Linked DNA regions of Macaca fascicularis. The protein of the gene in region 1 binds, or shares a complex with, the protein of each later gene. Links are inferred from orthologs where the notes say so. Each region holds a gene or a part of one and is shown in the gene's direction. Other genes may lie near its edges. The genes, in order: VAMP2, CPLX1 and STX8.

Evidence for each region.
Region 2: the proteins of VAMP2 (region 1) and CPLX1 are in contact, whole or in part, in a crystal structure (PDB 1KIL), measured with the Rattus norvegicus proteins. The link is inferred for Macaca fascicularis from reciprocal best matches to the Homo sapiens genes VAMP2 and CPLX1. Residues at the interface, in NP_036795.1 of Rattus norvegicus: Arg47, Val50, Asp51, Leu54, Asp57, Gln58, Ser61, Asp64, Asp65, Asp68, Ala69, Gln76; in NP_074055.1 of Rattus norvegicus: Leu41, Arg48, Tyr52, Glu56, Arg59, Glu60, Met62, Arg63, Ile66, Arg67, Tyr70, Gly71, Ile72.
Region 3: VAMP2 (region 1) and STX8 share a complex: the UniProt entries of both Homo sapiens proteins name them as parts of the SNARE core complex. The link is inferred for Macaca fascicularis from reciprocal best matches to the Homo sapiens genes VAMP2 and STX8.

What each region holds. Positions count from the first base shown.
Region 1 is NC_088390.1:8,245,233-8,251,502, reverse strand, and holds VAMP2 (vesicle-associated membrane protein 2), read left to right. Parts: upstream 1-2,197; 5' UTR 2,198-2,276; coding exon 2,277-2,278; intron 2,279-2,793; coding exon 2,794-2,914; intron 2,915-3,397; coding exon 3,398-3,556; intron 3,557-3,639; coding exon 3,640-3,691; intron 3,692-4,299; coding exon 4,300-4,316; 3' UTR 4,317-6,007; downstream 6,008-6,270. UniProt on the Homo sapiens protein: Involved in the targeting and/or fusion of transport vesicles to their target membrane. Major SNARE protein of synaptic vesicles which mediates fusion of synaptic vesicles to release neurotransmitters.
Region 2 is NC_088379.1:906,857-913,126, reverse strand, and holds the start of CPLX1 (complexin-1), read left to right. Parts: upstream 1-1,875; 5' UTR 1,876-1,935; intron 1,936-3,507; 5' UTR 3,508-3,586; coding exon 3,587-3,617; intron 3,618-6,270. UniProt on the Homo sapiens protein: Positively regulates a late step in exocytosis of various cytoplasmic vesicles, such as synaptic vesicles and other secretory vesicles.
Region 3 is NC_088390.1:9,660,714-9,666,983, reverse strand, and holds the start of STX8 (syntaxin-8), read left to right. Parts: upstream 1-2,532; 5' UTR 2,533-2,555; coding exon 2,556-2,572; intron 2,573-6,270. Other genes in the region: CFAP52 (cilia- and flagella-associated protein 52), read right to left, coding at 1,576-1,645. UniProt on the Homo sapiens protein: Vesicle trafficking protein that functions in the early secretory pathway, possibly by mediating retrograde transport from cis-Golgi membranes to the ER.

The sequences.
Region 1 (6,270 bases):
ACCTCCACCATTGATCTAAACTTGGGGAGTTCCTTTGAGCCACAGCCTAGGTGGGGTGGGGTGGGAACGGGCTGCTGGGTGAGAGCCCCCTCTCTGAGATGAATCCTCCTGGGCCTCTCATCTGCGTGGGTCACACATGCCCTCATTTCTACTCTGCTGCTGCCGCCCCCACAATCCAATAGCAATAGCACGACCCCTGGCCTTGACAGTGTATCTGGGGCTCTGTCCCTTCCATATCACCCCCAAACCAGCATCAAATGTCTTGCCTGGCCCTGCACTAGGCTCCCCCCAGTTAGTGCAGGGTGTCCAACTGGGGGCGGAAGGGCTTCCTGTGCCTGCCTCTTCCAATCCTCCCTGTCTTATTTATAACCAGACAGACACTGAAGCTTTTGAACTTAAAAGGCTGGAATTTGGCATCTTTGTTCTCTGACTAGAAAGCAGAATCATCTCAAGACCAAAAAGCAGGAGCCAGCATCCCATAGCATGATCTGAGACCCCCATGGAAGCTGCTCTTTTCTTTCTCATCACATAGGCTGAGCCACCCGGGACTGTCAGTGCACAAGGATCAGGGATGCGGCTGCTCCTCTGAGTGGGAGGAAGCCAAGAGTATCTTCTCTTAGATTGGGCTGAGTTCCCACACCCAGCACACACATTCCCTGCTCACTCACCTCCCCCAGACAGCTGGGAAATGACACCTCTGGTGACAGAGCCAGTCCCCGGGCTTCTGTGGGGAGGGAGTGGGGCACTGCAGTGGGGGAGTATCTCACACCCGGAGGCCCTGGGAAGCCAGGGTGGGGGAGGGACGAAGCTGGTTCCTGTTTGTCTCAGAGATCAAGGCCATCAGCCTCCCTGCACCTTCCAGGGATGTAGTAAGCACCCCCACCCCAGGTTCAAAGGGCCTCGCCTAAAATGCCTCCTGTACCCTTGAGGCTTGCTTTGATCCCCTGCACTCCACCAGAGCGACAGCTCCCCTGGTCCCATCTTCTCTGACAAGCTGGGTGGGAGTGTAGACAGCCTCTGGGTGTGCTTAGAGGGCCTAATGGAGATAGGGATAATCTTCCATGTTATCCACATCAAGCCATTTAACGAATATGGATTTAGTATCTACATATGCAATGTATTTGGGGTCCAGAGAGAGGACGGCAACTGTCCAAGGTCACACCTGCGAGGCGAATACGCATGTAAAGCAGCACCTTGTAAACTGTACCCACTGTGCCTACTACTAAAGAAAAAAAAATGAGAGAGAAAAAAGCCTTTTGGTCCCTGTGCCTGGGACCAAAGCCTGAGCCCTCTCCTGCAGTTGGGGTCGCTGACCCAAGCCTGGGGCAAAGCTAGGTCTTGGCCAGTCAGCAGCCACCACGTGAAGCAGCCCCTGCCCCCATCAGCCCCGGCTGCCTTGTGCCCTCCTCCTCGGGGTCTTCAGCTCACCCCACCTCAGTCGGGCCTGCTCCAGCTGTTAAGTACCCCTGGTCTGAACCTCAATCGTGAGGCGGGGCACCCCCCTCCTCACACCCTGTAGACACTCCCCGGTCCTCCACCCCCGGGACTTGTTTCGGCAGGAAGAGCCTGCCTCATCTTTTCTTCCCACCCTCCTACCCAGTGGCCTGGGATCGCAGGCTTCCTCTGAGACATCCACCAGCGGGGTGATGGGTTGAGACCAACCTCCTCCACTCCCCTCCACCCTAGCAGCAGGGTCCCCGCTCTCGATATTGCCCCAGCGCCTGTACTGGCCCTCTCTGATTTCCCAACCCCAGCCCATTCCCAGTGCTGAAGGCGGGTCGCTAGGTGCTGGGACCTGGGCGCGGGGCGAGACCTTGGGCTGTGTGGGATGCAGGCTGGCTTATTGGGTTCACGATTCAGGGAGTGGTCTGGGGGTTAGGTGCGGGGCCAGGCTGCTGTGTGCCCTAAGGGGCAGGTGGCAAGAGGTTTGGGGGCGGCTGTGGAAGGCTGTGCTCAGACAGGGCGGGGTGACGGTGGGTTTAGGGAAGCCGCAGCAACCCGCCTGGTGGTCCCGTGAGTGCCCAGAGAGCTGCCGGGGCACGGTGGCGCCAGACCCGCAGTCCCGCCGGGCACGACCCCAGTCCCGCAGCGCCCCGCCCCCGCGGCCCCGCTCCCGACGCGTCGCCCGCGGCGCCCCGCCCCCGCCCGCAGTGCCCGGATGCGGGTGACGCGCGGCCGCCATCTTTCCGTCCCGGGCAGCCAGCGCCAGTCGGAGCCAGCGCGAGTTGCCGCCGCCATCACTGCTGCTGCCAAGTCCTCCACCCGCTGCCCCCACCATGTGAGTCGGCCGCCCGCCACCCTCACCGCGCTTCCCTGCACCGGCCGCCGCCCTTGGCAACCGGCCGTGGGGAGTGCCCGGGGTCTCTCCCGCGTTCCCCGCGCCCCGGGGCCAGGCCCAAGCCGGTGACTGCGCGCGGGCGGCCGAGAAGCCCAGCGTCTCGGGCTGGCCGGCTCGAGCGATGGCCGCAGGAAGGAGCGGACCCTGTGTCCTCCTGCCGCGCCCCGCCCCTGTCACCGCGGCCGCCTGTCTTTTCGGGTCGACCCCGATCACATCTGTGAGGTCGCCCTCATTTGACAGGCGGGGAAACTGAGGCCGGGGGGAGGGGAGGCCTCGCTCAAGGTCACGCAGCTCATCGGTGGCGAGGCTGGACCTGGACCAGGGCTTCCATCGGGTGGCCTTCCTCCCGAAAAGGAGGACTGGAGGGACGAGGATGGACAGGTGGATGGGCGGAGCCCTGGCTGCAGGGCCGGGAGACTGCAGGCCCTGGGTCTTAATCCGTCCCTGCTCCTCAGGTCTGCTACCGCTGCCACGGCCCCCCCTGCCGCCCCGGCTGGGGAGGGTGGCCCCCCTGCACCCCCTCCAAACCTCACCAGTAACAGGAGACTGCAGCAGACCCAGGCCCAGGTGGATGAGGTGAGTGTGGGGGGAGTCAAAAGCAGTAGAAAGGACCCTGGGGGTTGGCGTTTAGGTGTAGGGGCCCATGTTGGTTTGGGAGTGATGACAGTTCACGCCTGTGGGTTTGCGGACAAAGATACCTTGCCCCATCCGTGTCTCCCTGTCAGCACGCACTTGGAAGGGTGCTGGGGGTGTTAATCAGCTTTGCTAGCCTGGGGTGTGCCAGCCTAGGCAGGTGTGCTCTGGTGATGGACAGAGCGCCTGAGGCGCCATAGAGGGAGGGTGTTGCTATGATATCTGAGATGTCACCAGTAATCCCCTGATGTGTGCTCCTTGCATGTCCCCAGGTGTGCTAGGCATGTACTGTGTGTGTCCTTGGCATGTTAACCTGGCAGCATCAGGGTGCATGTTCCATGTGTGGCACGGTGGGCACATGTTTGAGGATTACCCTCATGAGGTGGGCCTTGGCACACCCCCTTGCCCCGTGGGCCCTTCTCCCAGGTGGTGGACATCATGAGGGTGAACGTGGACAAGGTCCTGGAGCGGGACCAGAAGCTGTCGGAGCTGGACGACCGTGCAGATGCACTCCAGGCAGGGGCCTCCCAGTTTGAAACAAGTGCAGCCAAGCTCAAGCGCAAATACTGGTGGAAAAACCTCAAGGTAAGGATGGGGACAGGAAGGAGGACTGGCGGGTGAATGGGGTATCATAGTTAGTCTCGCTGATCCTCTCCTCTCACCCCCAGATGATGATCATCTTGGGAGTGATTTGCGCCATCATCCTCATCATCATCATAGGTGAGTAGGCTGGCAATGGCCGGGGCCCTTTCCCTGGAGAGGTTTCCCCAGTGGATTCTGGGTTTTGAAGGTCATTAACCTAGTTTTTACTCTTCAGCCAAAAACACATATAGCTGCTAATGGCAATTCTGATTCACCTAGAGCCAAAAACTTTGATGTTATTTAGCCTGCATTTTGCCTGGTTCTTGGCAGTTTTGTTAACATTTAGAAATATAAAAGTTGGTGTATCCATTGAGGACCCTTTGGGCCTAAGAGCCCAATCTGAGAGCCCTGGAATTGAGGAGTGGGAGAAAGGAAAGGCCCAGGGGCTTGAGACATGACCAGGAAGCCAACCACCCCATTATTTGAGAGCTTGTGGCCTCAGGCTCAGAGGATTAGGGTATGTGGCCTCAAGGCCATACCATGGAACTGAAGGGACCTCATAACCTACCTGTCTAACCCCTTGCTTTGTAGATGGAGAAACTGAGTCCAAGAGAGGGGTAGGGGTGCCAGCCAGCTGGGGAGTGGGGAGGATTGGAGCAGGGCCAGGCCTGACACACTGCTTTCTTTCTTTCTCCCTCTCTCCCTCCCCTCTCCCTCTTCCTCATCTTCTTCCCCTCTCTCCACAGTTTACTTCAGCACTTAAATCCCTGAGGAGTCTGCCCTGCCTAAAGAAGGGCCTCTCCCCCCACCCTCAGCCGTTCCTCCACCTCTCAGCCATATCTTTCAGCCCCCCTTCCCTGGATCCGTGCGTGTGTGTGTCCGTGTGTGTGTCCCCCTGTAAATAGCCAGCTGTTATTTATACATATATAATATTATATATATTTGGTCTGTTTGTAGTTTTATTACTAGAAGATTTTTCTGGTTGTCCTTAACACCCCTTCCTGAGGTTCCCTTCACCTCCTCTCTCTTGCCTGCCTTCCCTTTCCCTTTCTTCCTGACTAGCCCCAAGTCCCTTCATTTGCATCTGCTATGCAATAGTCCCTCTCCTCTCCTTCTTCTTCCCTCAGATTTAGCTGATCCTTCCCCCCACCCTGGCCTTCCTTTCCTCCTCCCTCTCCCGGTCATGCTCCCTCTGCCCCGCCCTCAAAAAAGACCACAAAAAACAAAAAGCATCTGTCCAGGCTTCCTTAGGTGCATCTTGTTTGCATCCAATGGGAGGCTCTGAGACTGGCCCCACTTGGTCCTAAGAATCCCAAGGTCTTTGGGAGTGTCCAGCATGTTAAGTAGCGTATCATTACATACTGCCATCCCTTTCCATTTCTTTTTGTTCCATCACTCTTCTCTCAACTGGTGTTTCTTTTTTTACTGAGGAGTTAGTCCCCATTAGTCCTTGTATCACATTTTCATTTGCACGACATTACTTGCAGATGGTGGGGAGCCTGGGCTTTTGGGGGACCAGGCTGCTCTGTCCTCCAGCATTGCCTCTTCCTAGCTCTTCTAGTCCAGTTTGCCTCCCTTACCCTCATTTTCCAAACCTCTTGTACCCTCTCCCTCCCCCAGCTGGTATGTAAGTGTCTTGGAGTTCAGTATGTTATGATGGACCAATAATTCTGCCACTTGGGGATTCTCCCCACATTCCTGCTCCCCAGTTTTCATGTGGGGCACTCAACTGACATTCCCATGGGGTTTCCCTCCCATCTGCCTGATCCACCTCCTCCTCCCACTAGGAGAGTTGGGGGTTGGCCACAATTGATCTCTTTTGGGAGGGGTGGCTACCAGTGTGTGGGGGGTCATCACTGCCTTGGGGAGGAGTGGGGCAGGGCAGAGAATCCCCCCAATTCCTGCCTGAAATCTCTGGCCTCACCCCTGCTGGGGGCAGGACTGAAAACCCTCCTCCTCAATTTGGGGGGTGTTGCCCCCATCACTTCCCAGCTCCTCTGACTTCCCCCACCCCCGAATTTAGGGTGGGGTACTAGTCACTGCCAATGTGTGCATGGGACTTGCTGGAATATGGGGATGCTTGCCCCTCTCCAGGGCTATTGAGCCCAGAGAGAGCTGTCTTTTCATTGGGTGAAGTGATTGAGGAAGGGTCTATTGTCTTTTTAAATGGCACAATTTTAAGGGTCTGAGGGTACAGTCCCTTAACCTGCCACGGGAGGGGGCCCCCAAACTTTCTTCCCCCCACACTTGAGGTTTTCTGTGTGGAGGGGGAGCAGGGATATCTAAGCTGTGGTGTGAAAGGGTAGGAGAGATGCTGGGGGCGGGGGTGCTGTGTTCTAGACCCCCCATATTATCCCAGTGTCCCCTGCCCCCTTCTTCCCCCACCCCATGCCCCCAATTCTGTGGCGCATCCAGATTGTGAAAATGTACAATAAATGTGTAATGAGTAACCAAGTGTTGTCTGTTCTAAGATCTTTTTTATTTTTTCTATTTTTTTTTTTTTTTTTTTTTGGTGCGGGGAGAATAAGATATTTTCTTAACCAATGAGAAGAATATTGGATCGGAAGGTATAGCAGGAAGCTTGAGAAGATACATTGGTAAAGGACTGGATTTGGCAAGAGGCCCTGACCTTGGGCAGGGCAAAATGTGATTCTCAAAATGGCCACACGGGGGCAGTAGGAGTTGGTAATGGGAAGTGTCATAGCCAGTTCCCGTGT
Region 2 (6,270 bases), on another chromosome or scaffold:
CAGCCTGGCCTGGGTTACAGAACTGGAGAGGAGTCAGCCTAGGAGTCCAGTGCTGAAGCTCAGACCCCCGGACCCTTCTGCTGGGAGGAGCCTGCACTCCCTGCACCCCTATGCAGACTGCCCCAAAGGCACCAGCATCTCCCCTGCATGCAGCTTGCGCAGGTGGCAGGGTCAGTCGTGAGCCTGGCTCTGGGCTCAAGGGGTCCTCTCTGGGGTCACTGTCGGGGTGAGCTGTTGGGTTACCCACCCAGTTAGGGACGGAGGGAGAAAGTGCCAGGGCCAAGCAGCGACCTCTTTCCTGGACCCAAACATCTCACCCTTGCTGTCCCCTCCCAGGTCCTGAGGAGGCAGACTGAGCAGACCAGGCTGGGGCTCAGGTCAGGCCTCCAGGCATCGGGAAACAGAGAGTCCACTCCATAGCGTATCCAGCTGGAGGTGTGTGAGGACTGAGGCCTCGGACAAGGGGAGGTGGAGATGACCTGAAGGGCCATTGGGGGTCCAGGGGTCGCTGACAGGAAGGGGCCTGGGTGTACGTCCTGCCTCCTGTCCCTGGGCCCAACCTTCTGAGCCCACTTGGCTCAGATCCAAGGAGAGAGGAAGGGACGGTGCTGGGGGTGCCCACGCCAGGGAGGCTGAAGAGACCCCAGTCCTAGGGCATAGGTCCCCCTCCAGGAGGTTGCCTGTGAACCCCCAGGCCCATGCCCCTTCTCACTGCCTCTGGGAGCTCCCGTGGGCTCGGCCCTGGTGCCATCACCCTTCCCTCTCCCCCAGTGCTCCCTTCCTCTGCGGGGGATCCCCTGCCAGGTCAGCAGAGGAGTGGGGACGGGGCAGAGGCGCTGGGGCCAAGGCTGGGGGGTCCAGGCTTCTGAGTCCTCCTGAGCTCAGGCTAAACACGGGACACCGGAGGGGATGGGGCTGAGGGCGGGGGAGACACCGCATCCTCCCAGCGCCAGCGGACTCCCTGGGACTCAGCCGGGAGGGGACACTGACAAGTTAATGTGGCGGCCACCGGCAGCGGCCCCCACTCTCCACCCACCCCCACTCACCACCAGGAGCACAGGGCAGCTCTAGGGTCCCGGTGCGCCCCATCCCTCCCGCCACCCGGCGCCCGACATTGCACAGCAGGGACCCGACCGCAGGGCGGACCAGACCGAGAGCCGACCTTGCGGCGACCCTGCTCTCCCGCAGTGCCGCGTCGCCGCAGAGGAAATCCTGGGGGCCGGGGGAGGGGGCGGTGGGGTCTCCAGCCTTCGTCCCGCTAAAGGAAACAGCGACTCTGTTACACTGAAAGTCAGCCCAGGCCGACCTGCGGATCTCCCGCGGCGAGGGGCTTGGTGGGTTTTCAGGGGTCTGGGGGCCCCCTTCTCCCGCCCTGCGATGCGGGGAGGTCCGGGCAGAGGGCTCGGGGCGGCGGGCGGCGCTCAGGGGCACGGTCCCCGGAGAATGGGGGGGCAGCGACTCCCCCTAACCCCTGACCCCTCCGCCCGGGAGGCAGCGACTTCTCCGCCCGAGGGTTTCGCACCCATCGGCCCGGTGCGGACCCTGTAGGGAGCAGGCCCGCATGGTCGCCCGCATGGTCGGGCTCGGGGCGCGGGGGCAGGGCCGGGGGCGCCCAGATCAGGGGCGGGCAGGGGTCGCAGGCCCAGGCCGGGGAAGGTCGCACCCGGGCGGGGTTGGAAGGAGACGGGGGCGCTTCACTCGGATCCACCCCCGCTCCCGCCCCGCCCCCGCCCCCGCCCGGCGCCCGCGGCCCCGCCCCTCGGCGCTCCCCTCCCCCTGCTCGTCACGCTCGGACGCGGGCGGGGGGCGGGGAGCGCCTCCGAGTGACGCGCCCTCCTCGCTGTGCCCTTCAGCCGCCGCCGCAGCTCACCGGGCGCCACATGGACCCAGCCGGCCCGAGCGCGCCCCGCCGCTGACCGCCTGCGCCCCGGGAAGGTAACCGCGCCCCGAGCGCAGCGCCCGCCCGGTCTCCGCTCCCCGGGTCTCCCCCCGGCGCCGGTTTCTCCTCCCCGGCCCCGGCTTCTCCCCGCTTTTTCCCCCGGCCCCGGTTTCTCTTCCCCGGCCCCGGCTTCTCCCCTCTTCTCCCCCGGCCCCGGTTTCTCCTCTCCGGCCCCCGCTTCTCCCTCCGGCCCCGGCTTCTCTTCCCCGGCCCCCGTTTCTCCCCCCGGCCCCGGCTTCTCCTCCCCGGCCACCGCTTCTCCCCGCGGCCCCGGCTTCGCCCCGCGTCTCCCCCCGGCCTCCACTCCCCGGGTCTCTCCTCCACGGCCCCGGCTTCTCCCCCTCGCCCCGGCCTCTTCCCCCGGTCCCCGTTTCTCCCCCCGTCCCCGGCTTCTCCCTGCGGCCCCCGCTTTTCTCCCGGGCTCCGCGCGCGCTGGGTCCGGGGCGGGCGCTGTCCACTGCCGCGGTGCTGAAGCGGCCCCCGCGGTCCCGGCCCGTGCCCGGCCTCCTCCTCGCTTCTTCCTGTCTCCGAGGCTCCCCCTCTCCTCCCTCGCCCTCTTTCTTTCCTCTCCTGGCGCGCTCCCGCCTGAGGGCCGCTCGCCCGCCCGCAAAGCCGAAGGGTGCGGGTGCGGCGGGGCTGGAGCCCTGCGGGTGTGCGGGGCCCGGCAGTGCCCTTCTTCCCCGCGCCGCGGGAGCCAGGGGAGAAGTTTGGAGGAGAATCGGCGCTGCGGCAAAGGCTCCGAGGGGCGCTCCCCACCCGCCGCCCTCCCAGTCCGCGCGCGAGTCTCCTTCCTCTGCGGAGAGCGGGGGGGTGAACCGTCTAACAGTGTCTCTCCAGGGACCTGTGTTTCCCTGACAGGAGAGACCCCACAAACGCGGGGGGCGCACTGCGGCTGCTGTGATTTCAGAAAGCGCTTCCCAAGAGGGGACCAGAGCGCCCCACCCCACCCCATGCACATCTCGGGAGGCGGGAGTGCTCGGTCCCCGTTCCCATGTGTTCCCGGAAGGCTGATCCCCCTGAAGTTTCTCCCCAACCCCGATCTCTTCTACGTGGGTCATGTGGGGGACACACTGACTGCAGTGCCATCAGGGATAGGGTGACCCAAGCCTGCCTGGTCAGAAGCCACAGGAGCCCGCCCTGAAGGGCAGCCGCTCAAAGACCCACCCCCAACCCTTCTCCACTGCCCTGGGCTCCGGACCACCAAGGAGGCGCTGCTCCAGACACGGAGCTGCAGAGCAGAGCAGTCACCTTCAAACGCCCCCTGGGCCCCGCCCCTGCTTCCGCAGCCTGGCGCCAGGCGCCTCTGAGCGTTACCCCCTAAGCTGTCAGCAGCCCTCCCTGCAGGGGCTTCAGACACCCCAGGAGCTGGGGAGACCACTTTCAGGTCCTCTGGGGTCCTGGTTTGGGTGTGGGGACAGAAACCCCTCACGAACGGACTTCCCAAGCAGCCGCTCCTGGTGGGGAGGGTCCAGCCCACAAGGTATTAGGGGGACACGAATGATGGTCTCTGGGGAAGGCCAGGCAGAGGCCTGCTCAGGGTGACCCGTGACCACTTCACTCTCCCCCAGGAAGAACACTCACTCCTGGCCACACTCGCATGTGAGTTCTGACCCTTGGAGGAGCCGCTGTGGAATCAGAGCAATCGCCATGGAGTTCGTGATGAAGCAGGCCCTGGGAGGTAGGAAGCAGGAGGTGGGGTGGGGAGGGGCTGAGGGGCCGGGCCGCTGGGACAGGCAGACATGGAGAGACCACCACACCAGCTGCTCCTCAAGCGGTCCACCGCAGCAGCGCCACGGCAGCCACACAGCCACCAACTGTGTGGAGGAGCCTGGGGCCTGGGGCAGAGGAGCAAGGACCGTGCCCAGCAGCGCCTGGGGCAGAGGAGCAAGGACCGTGCCCTGCAGCGCCCCCAGCCCGGCCCTTTTCGTGTCCCTGAGACAGAACTGGTGTCCCTGGCGGGATAGGGGCTGCCCTGTAAGCTCACTCTGCCCCGCTGCTGTGGTCGGGGCAGAGCCCATGGACCACGCTGATGCAGGTCCTAGGGGAGGGTGGACACCCTGGTGTAGGCTTTGCAGGGCCAATTCTAAGTGGCCAGGCTAGGCAGCCCCCAAGGGGGCTTCCTTTGGGTGAGGAGGGCCCAGCGGTGGGAGAGCAGGATGCAGGCGGCGGCCTCAGGGACAGGTGTGGGGACAGAGCTGGCCTGTGCATTTGGTGAGGACTCTGTGGGTTTCACTTGGGTGAGGCAGTGCTGTCCTCAGGGAGCCAGGGCTTGCTGGTTACAGGAGCAAAGGAAAAGGCCCAGAACAACTTGTGTGTCTTGACCGCCTCCCAGGAGGGACGTGCAGCCTTTTTTGTGTGTACTGGGGTGGGGGCAGGCCCCCTTCCAACCTGCTGTCTGCTATTTGAAAGGAACCTCGTCCCCACTTCATTGTGGCCAGAGACCATGCCAAGGGCAGCGGCTAAGTCCCTAGTCCAGGAGGTGGGCAGAGCCTGGGCCATACTGGTACAGACATGTCCCAGCAGAGCTGATGGGGTCAACTTAGGCCTCAGGGCTGTCCTGGCGAGTCTCAGTTTTGCTCAGAGCCATCCATCTTATGTTCCCCCAGCTCCTTGGTGCAGCACCAGTGCCCAGAACTCCTGTGAAGGGAACCTGTGGCCAGTGCCCGATTCTACCACTGGAGACACCTTACTTGGGTGGCCTCCACAGGGGAGTATCCTGACCTGATGCCGTTCACACCTTGGTGTGAGTCAGGCCGCCTGGAGCATTTCTGCAGTGGGGGAGCCAGCTGGGTTCGAGGGGCCAGGGACAAGGGTGGACAGAGGGCAGGTGCCGCTTCCCCCAGGACAGGAGCTGCCTGCCTGGCTGTCTCCTGGTGGGTGACTGTGCTTCCACTCAGCACAAATTAAATGAAAAGATGTTGAGCCTGGCCTGGGGCCACATCCTGGAGATTTCGTGGTCAAGGGTAAGCTGCAGGTTGAGTCTAATTATAATGATTGCGTCACCGGGCCGTGATTCAGGGACTAGCCTGCATCTGCGCTGGGAGGGACGCACGTTCCACCCCGGGAGTCCCAGACTGTTACAGATAATTAATTAGGTGGCTAATTCAGGCCCTGAGGTGGGCTTGTAAGAAAACTGAAATATCTTATTTGGCTGTCTGCATGACTGAAATTAGCTGGGTAATTACCAGCCTGAATTCCCTTTTTGTTTCATGGCAGCCCAAAGTTTCTCCTGCAGCAGCAACGGGGCAGGCATCACTCAGCGTGGTGGAGCTGAGAGGGGGCAGCCGGCGGACCCCAGGGGGTTCCACGCTGAGTGCTGCCTAGAGCACCCCACATTGGCTTTGCAGAGCACGTGAGGCTCGGAGCCAGCACTGCTGAGGGTGGGAGCTGGTGGGGGTTCCCAGGCGAGACCTTGTTTTCTGCCTCTGTGCCTCTGTCCCTTACCCGGCGAGCCTCATCGTTGCTGTCTCAGGATGCGTGTGAGTGAGACAGAGTGAGACAGAGATGGAAAATGGGGGGACCTCCAGACAGCACGACAGAGCTTGGCAGAGACCCCAAGAGAAGTACTGAGAAACACACCAAGCCCCGGACACAAAGAAACTGGCAGGTGAGGGAGCAGGAGGCACCCGGGAAGCCGTTCAGAGAGAGGCAAACCCAGAAACAGGGTCAGGGAGGGGGGAGCTGGAGAAAGAAAATGACAGCCCAGAAACAGAGACAGAGAAAAAGACAAATGTGTTATTCAGCACGCACAGGGCCAGACAGGTGAAAACAGAAGGCACGTCAGAGACAGAGAGGGGGGGAGACAGAGGCAGAGAGAGGGGGAGACAGTGGGGAGAGGGAGAGACAGAGAGAGGGAGAGACAGAGACAGAGGGAGAGACAGACAGAGGGAGAGACAGAGGGAGGGAGAGACAGAGAGAGGGAGAGACAGTGGGGAGAGGGAGAGACAGAGAGAGGGAGAGACAGAGAGAGGGAGAGACAGAGAGAGGGAGAGACAGAGACAGAGGGAGAGACAGACAGAGGGAGAGACAGAGAGAGGGAGAGACACAGAGAGGGAGAGACAGTGGGGAGAGGGAGAGACAGAGAGAGGGAGAGACAGTGGGGAGAGATGCATGAGAAATGAACTGCTAAGAGGAGTCAGGGCCGGGAGCGCAGGCAGCAGGGCAGACGCACACGTGCACGCCCGTCAGAGGGCGCAGCGGAGAGGAGGAAGAGGTGAGGACCTGCTGGGGGCTCTGGGCAGGGGAATGGGCCTCACTGAGAGGCGGCCTAGTGAAGTCATGGCCACTCGGGGGCTGTCCACGGCAGGCTGGGTTGCAGGTGTGAGTCTTGC
Region 3 (6,270 bases), about 1.4 Mb from region 1:
CACTGCACTCCAGCCTGGACGACAGAGCAAGACTCCATCTCAAAAAACAAACAAACAAACAAAAAAAATAAAGAATATACATTATCATAAAGCCACCAAGGTAAAAACAATTTGATCATATGGGGTCATTCTAAAAGGTAAAGAAAATCAGTAACTGCCATGGAAGACATTTACCATACGTTTGCGCTTGGAACTCTACAACCACAGCACGAATTCAGTTGTAGAGTTTTCTTGTTTTGTTTTGTTTTGTTTTTGAGACAGAGTCTCCCTCAGTCGCCCAGGCTGGAGTGCAGCTGCGCGATCTCGGCTCACTGCAGCCTCCACCTCCCGGGTTCAAGCGATTCTCCTGCCTCAGCCTCCTGATTAGCTGGGATTACAGGTGCCCGCCACCACGCCCGGCTAATTTTTGTACTTTTAGTAGAGATGAGGTTTCACCATGTTGACCAGGCTGGTCTCGAACTCCTGACCTCAAGTGATCCACCGCCTCGGCCTCCCAAAGTGCTGGGATAACAGGCATGAGCCACTGCCCCTGGCCTCAGTTGCAGAGTTCTCTGTGTGTGGTTCTATATTGGCTTAACAAATGACGCTTTGCAACTCACTGTAGGCTGCTCAATTCTTTCTCAATGATGTTGTAACCAGCTCTCAAGATATCTAATGTCCGAAATGTATAAAGCACTCACTTTCTATCGGAGACTGTTAAAGTAAAACCAAGAGTCAAGAGCTAAGTCCTAGAGTACGCTTAAAACTTTAAACAGTGATTGTTCGGCATCCACATTCTTAAAGCTTTCAGGCATCACAACACACATTTTTGAAAAGTTTTGTTTCTCCTAAAATCATTCATTGTTTTCTCATCCCTCAAAAAACCAAAACCCCTCAAAACGAACAATAAAACCCCACAGCTTTTCCCTCCCAGAATCTTCAAAACAATAGGCAGTCACAAATAAGATTTCAGCGGAGTGTCCCAGACCCTTTTTCTCTCCGCTTCAGCTCCCCCTGACGTCCCCTTCCCTTCTGTCCTGGTCTGAAATCCTCACCATTTAGAAACCTTCCTTAAGATTAGAGGACCAAGATCATCCCTCAGGGGGTTGCTCAAACACACGTTCCGTCCTAGCCCCTTCTCACGGGTACGCCAGTTGGGATTTTAGCAGATTTCCTAGCTAGTCCCGGGGCCGACACAGACAGCATCCTTCTGTGTGGTTACGAAGGAGCCTAGGGCTTTGTGGGCGGCGTAGAGCTCAGAGCCAGGAAGGGCTGACCTAGTGGCAGAAGGGTTACAACCACCCGTACCCATCCGGCCCGCCTGGGGAGGAGGCATTTGGTCCCTTTTAGGAGCTGGCGCTTGTCAGAGCTGGTAAAAACCATCCCACTCCCTGAGGCTCTCGGATCGAGGAAGTGACTCTCCAAGGCCTTGGGGAGGGTCAGGCTATGCGGGTCCTCCGTGTGTGTCCCTGCCCAGGGCTCCTGCCGTTGTCCCACACTGAATTTCAGGTGTCCCCGGTGTCTCACTATTCCTGTTTGCACTACAGGTCCTCCGAGTTCCTAAACCAGCCAGCCCAAAGATGCTGGAGGCCTCACCATTGAAGCCGATCACGGCGTCAAGTTCCAGCTCCGCCACTTGGGCCTCCGGCGAAATTTTGTTATCCATCCCTGGGAGGTTCTGCTTACTTTGCTCTCCGCCCTAGTGGGTGCAGCGTCTTCTGGTCGTTATGGTAACGGACGAGCGCATGCGCGCCAGCTCCACGCCCGCGCAGAAACCCAGCCTGCCGAATTCGAGTTCATTAGCATTCTTGGAAATGAAGGGAGATAGGGACTGGGAGGGAGATAGGGTGGGATTCATCTTTTTTGTGTCTGCTGTTTCTCTGGAAATTTAGGAGATGGCACTAACTGCACAGAACTAATTCCTCCATCCCCTCGTGTTGAGTCTGTGACTTCTTAGTAACTCTAAAATCAAGCACCAAATGAATGGCATTTTTAAAAATATGTAATCAAGCATAGAGGACTGATGGGAAGGCTGCTATAAAATAAATAAATACATAAATATATATATAAAATTGATACTTCTTTGGGCCCCTGTTTAAAGCAGCGTGAAAAAATATTTTAAATATATTTTTAAAAAGCGTTATTGAGGTATAATTTACATATCATAAAGTTAACTTAAAGTAGGTTGTAGTAAGTTTACGAAGTGTGCAAGTCGCACCGCAATCTAGTGTTTTGTTTGTTGTTTTGTTTTTTTGAAGCAGGATAAATTTTTAAGTAACTGCTACGGAGGTCTTGCAAGCGCTCCCACCTTCCTGGGAAAATGGTTAGTTTCTATTTAACAATTTTAACTGAGCTCAGCTGTTCGCGTCTCTTAGTGGGAGTAGATTGCGCCAGCCAACTGTTCCCAGGGGAGCACTTTCCTTTCTCTGATCATGGTTCTTAGGCTCTAGTTATTCACTTTGCAAACTCCAGGCTCCGGTCGCGCACGGGACGAACTGCGGGGAGTGAGCCGTGCGGGCCGCCGTAGTCAGCTGCTAAGAGCAGGAAGAGTCCGAGCGGCGGGCGGAGTCTGCAGGATGGCACCGGACCCCTGGTGAGCCCAGGGTGAGGGTGGCGGTGCGCGGAGGGACCTTCGGGGAAGCCGGGCTTCCGGGGAGCAGGCGATCACTTCGCATTGCCCCTGGAGGCCTTTCGAGATGAGGGGAGGGGCAGCGAGACCCTTCCTCTACTGAGGGGACTCAGCCACATCCCGCCACCCTTGGTCCTTCCAAGGGTAGCTGGGGAAGGAGACCGGGTGGTCAGCTGGAGAGCTGAGGATTTGAGCCAAATCTCTGAATATTTCTCTAGCTTTTCTGGGCTGCATCTCGCTGCGGGGATTTCCCGCCCATCCTGGTTGTGGAGCTGGCCGGTGCAGGCTTCCTTGGACTCCTATAAAAGTGAAGTCGAAATAACCTTTTTGTAGCATGTCTGTCCATCTCGGTAAACCCCCTTATTTCACAGGTGGAGAAACCGAGGTTCAGAATCCATGGTCACCAGCCAGTTAGTAACCAGCTGGGTCTAAGACCTAGATCCTGGGGGCCCTTCCAGATACAGGAACCTGGGAGGGAAATTGTGCGCTTGTTTATAAGGCATTTTGCACTTTCTTGAGTTAATATCATGAAGTCTTTTCCTTTAGCAGTAGCTTCTGCAGTAAAACAATAGGTGATAAGGGTCATTTATTTAGCAGTCAATCCCAAGGACTGCTTGATGAAAGATGTAACTTTTGATCTCAAGGAACATATTGTTTGATCCCAAGGAACATATTGTTATTGAACATAGACTTGACCTTTCTGCTTAATAATTAAAAACATTACAGCTCTATAACGTTCTTGTTGGAATATATGTCTTATGTTGTTATTTCTAATATAGTTTATAATTCTTTAAGTTACCCTCAGCCTGGATGTTAGAAGAATGGGTTCCAAGAACAAAGTTGAGTTACCTGGAATCTAGGTTATTTGGGTCAATTATTTAATTTAGCATTGACCTTTTTAGACCTAATTTTAGGCCGGACGCGGTGGTGGCTCACGCCTGTAATCCCAGTACTTTGGGAGACCGACGCAGGTGGATCACCTGAGGTCGGGAGTTCGAGACCAGCCTGACCAACATGGAGAAACCCCCTCTCTACTAAAGATTACAAAATCAGCTGGGCGTGGTGGTGGGTGCCTGTAATCCCAGCTACTCAGGAGACTGAGGCAGGAGAATCGCTTGAACCCGAGAGATGTAGGTTGTGGTGAGCTGACATAGCGCCATTGCACTCCAGCCTGGGCAACAAGTGCGAAACTCCGCCTCAAAAAAAAAAAAAAAAAAAAAAAAAACCAAAAAACCCAAATCCCTAATTTTAACAGTTATATACACCCCTTGATAGAGAATATCTAATTTAGAGAATATTGAAAATTTGCAGAGGAAAATAAATAGCATCTTTAACTCTATAATTTGGAAATAGCCATTGTTTAATTTTTAACAATGAATTTGTTACTTTAATCTGTATTTTATATATAGTAAAACAGCATTTCTCTATGTCATTGGACATTCTTTGAAAACATAATTTTCTTTCTCTCTCTTTTTTTTTTTTTTTGAGATGGAGTCTTGCTCTGTCACCCAGGCTGGAGTGCAATGGCATGATCTTGGCTCACTGCAACCTCCACCTCCCGGGTTCAAGCAACTCTCCTGCCTCAGCTTCCAGAGTAGCTGGAACTACAGGCTCATGCTGCCACACCCAGCTAATTTTTTGTATTTTAGTAGAGACAGGGTTTCGCGGTGTTGCCCAGGCTGATCTCGAATTCCTGAGCTCAGGCAATCTGCGTGCCTCGGCCTCCCAAAGTGCTGTGATTACAGGTGTGAGCCACCACACCCGGCCTCATAATTTTCTAATGTTGCATAATAATGCATCACATGAATGACCATAATTTATTTTTCTCCTCATATTAGTTTTTTGGTTTTTTGATGTTTTGTTTTGTTTTATGATTGCAAAGGCAGTTCCTTTGTTCCATCTCTTATTTCCTTGGGCTCCCTGTCTAGAAGTAGGAATTAGAACTGTTGAAAGTGAAAGCATTTATTTTTTTTTTTGTTATTCTCAATTAGTTTGACTAAGTGGCTTTCTCATTAGATTGTTGAAAGTGAGGGCTGAAGGGTACGAACATTTTTAAGGCCCTTGATACTGTGAACCCCAAAGTATCTGAGACAGGACTCAATCAATTTAGAAAGTTTATTTTGCCAAGGTTAAGAATGCACCCGTGTGGATCACGAGGTCAGGAGTTCGAGACCAGCCTGGCCAACATGGTGAAACCCCGTCTCTACTAAAAATACAAAAAAAATTAGCTGAGCGTGGAGGCACGCGCTGTAATCCTAGCTACTTGGGAGGCTGAGGCAGGAGAATCGCTTGAACCTGGGAGGCAGAGGTTGCAGTGAGCCGAGATTGCGCCACTGCACTCCAGTCTGGGCGATAGGGCGATACTCTGTCTCAAAAAAAAAAATAATAATAATAATAACAAATGCACCCGTGACACAGCCTCAGGAGGTTCTGAAGACCTGTGCCCAAGGTGGTTGGGGAACAGCTTGCTTTTATACAATTTAGGAAGAATAATACATGAGTTAATACATGTGAGATTTATGATGGCTCAATCCAGAAGGGCGGGACACCTTGAAGGGGGTGGGGGAGGCTTCAAGGTCATAAGTAGTTTGAAAAATTTTCTGATTGGCAATTGGTTGACTTATTATCAATAGAAAGGAATGTCTGGGTTATGATAAGGGGTAGTGGAGACCAAGATTTTATCATGCAAATGAAGCCTCTGGGTAGCAGGCTTTAGAGAGAATAGATTGTAAATGTTTCTTATCAGACTTAAGACCTGTTTCAGGTTAACTTTGGAATGCCCTTGCCTGGGGGGTGGGATCCATGCAGATGGTTTATTTTTGGTTTACAATACATATTCCTAAATTGCCCTCCACCTTCTTTAAAAACCTATAAAAGGCCAGGTGCGGTGGCTCATGCCTGTAATCCCAGCACTCTGGGAGGCTGAGGCAGGCAGATCACAAGGTCAGGAGTTTGAGACCAGCCTGACCAACGTGATGAAACCCCCTCTTTACTAAAAATGCGAAAATTAGCTGGGCATGGTGGTGCACGCCTGTAATACCAGCTACTCAGGAGGCTGAGGCAGGAGAATCACTTGAACCTGGGAGGCAGATGTGCAGTGAGCTGAGATCGCACCACTGCACTCCAGCCTAGGTGACAGAGTGAGACTCCATGTCAAAACAAAGCAAAACAAACAAACAAACAAAAAACCTATAAAAACAGATTCAACTACAGTTTTACCTTTGTGTTGCTAAAGTCATAGGTCATTGGCACCTCCCTCAGTGTTTAGAAATGGAATAGAGCAGTTACTATTTTAATGGCCTATCAAAACAAGTGGTAAGCTGGCTGTTTAACAGAAGTAGCACATGATACTGTCTCTAAACTGGTTCTTTGCTAATGTTAATTAGCTTTACCGTCAGGGTAACTTATTTGTTGATGATATACCGTTTCCAGAAAAATTACACTTAAACCTTAATAGTTTTATATTCCTGACTGGACTTTTTATGTTGGTAGCATGGTCTTCTTTTTGTTGATTTGCTTTTTAAAAACTTTATTTTGGAAGGTAAAAGATACACAAACTAGAATAGTACAATGGGCCCCTTCCATACTCACCACCCAATTTCTGTAATTATCAATATTCTGCCATTCTTGTTTCATCTCTGCCCTCCACACCTTTTTTTTTT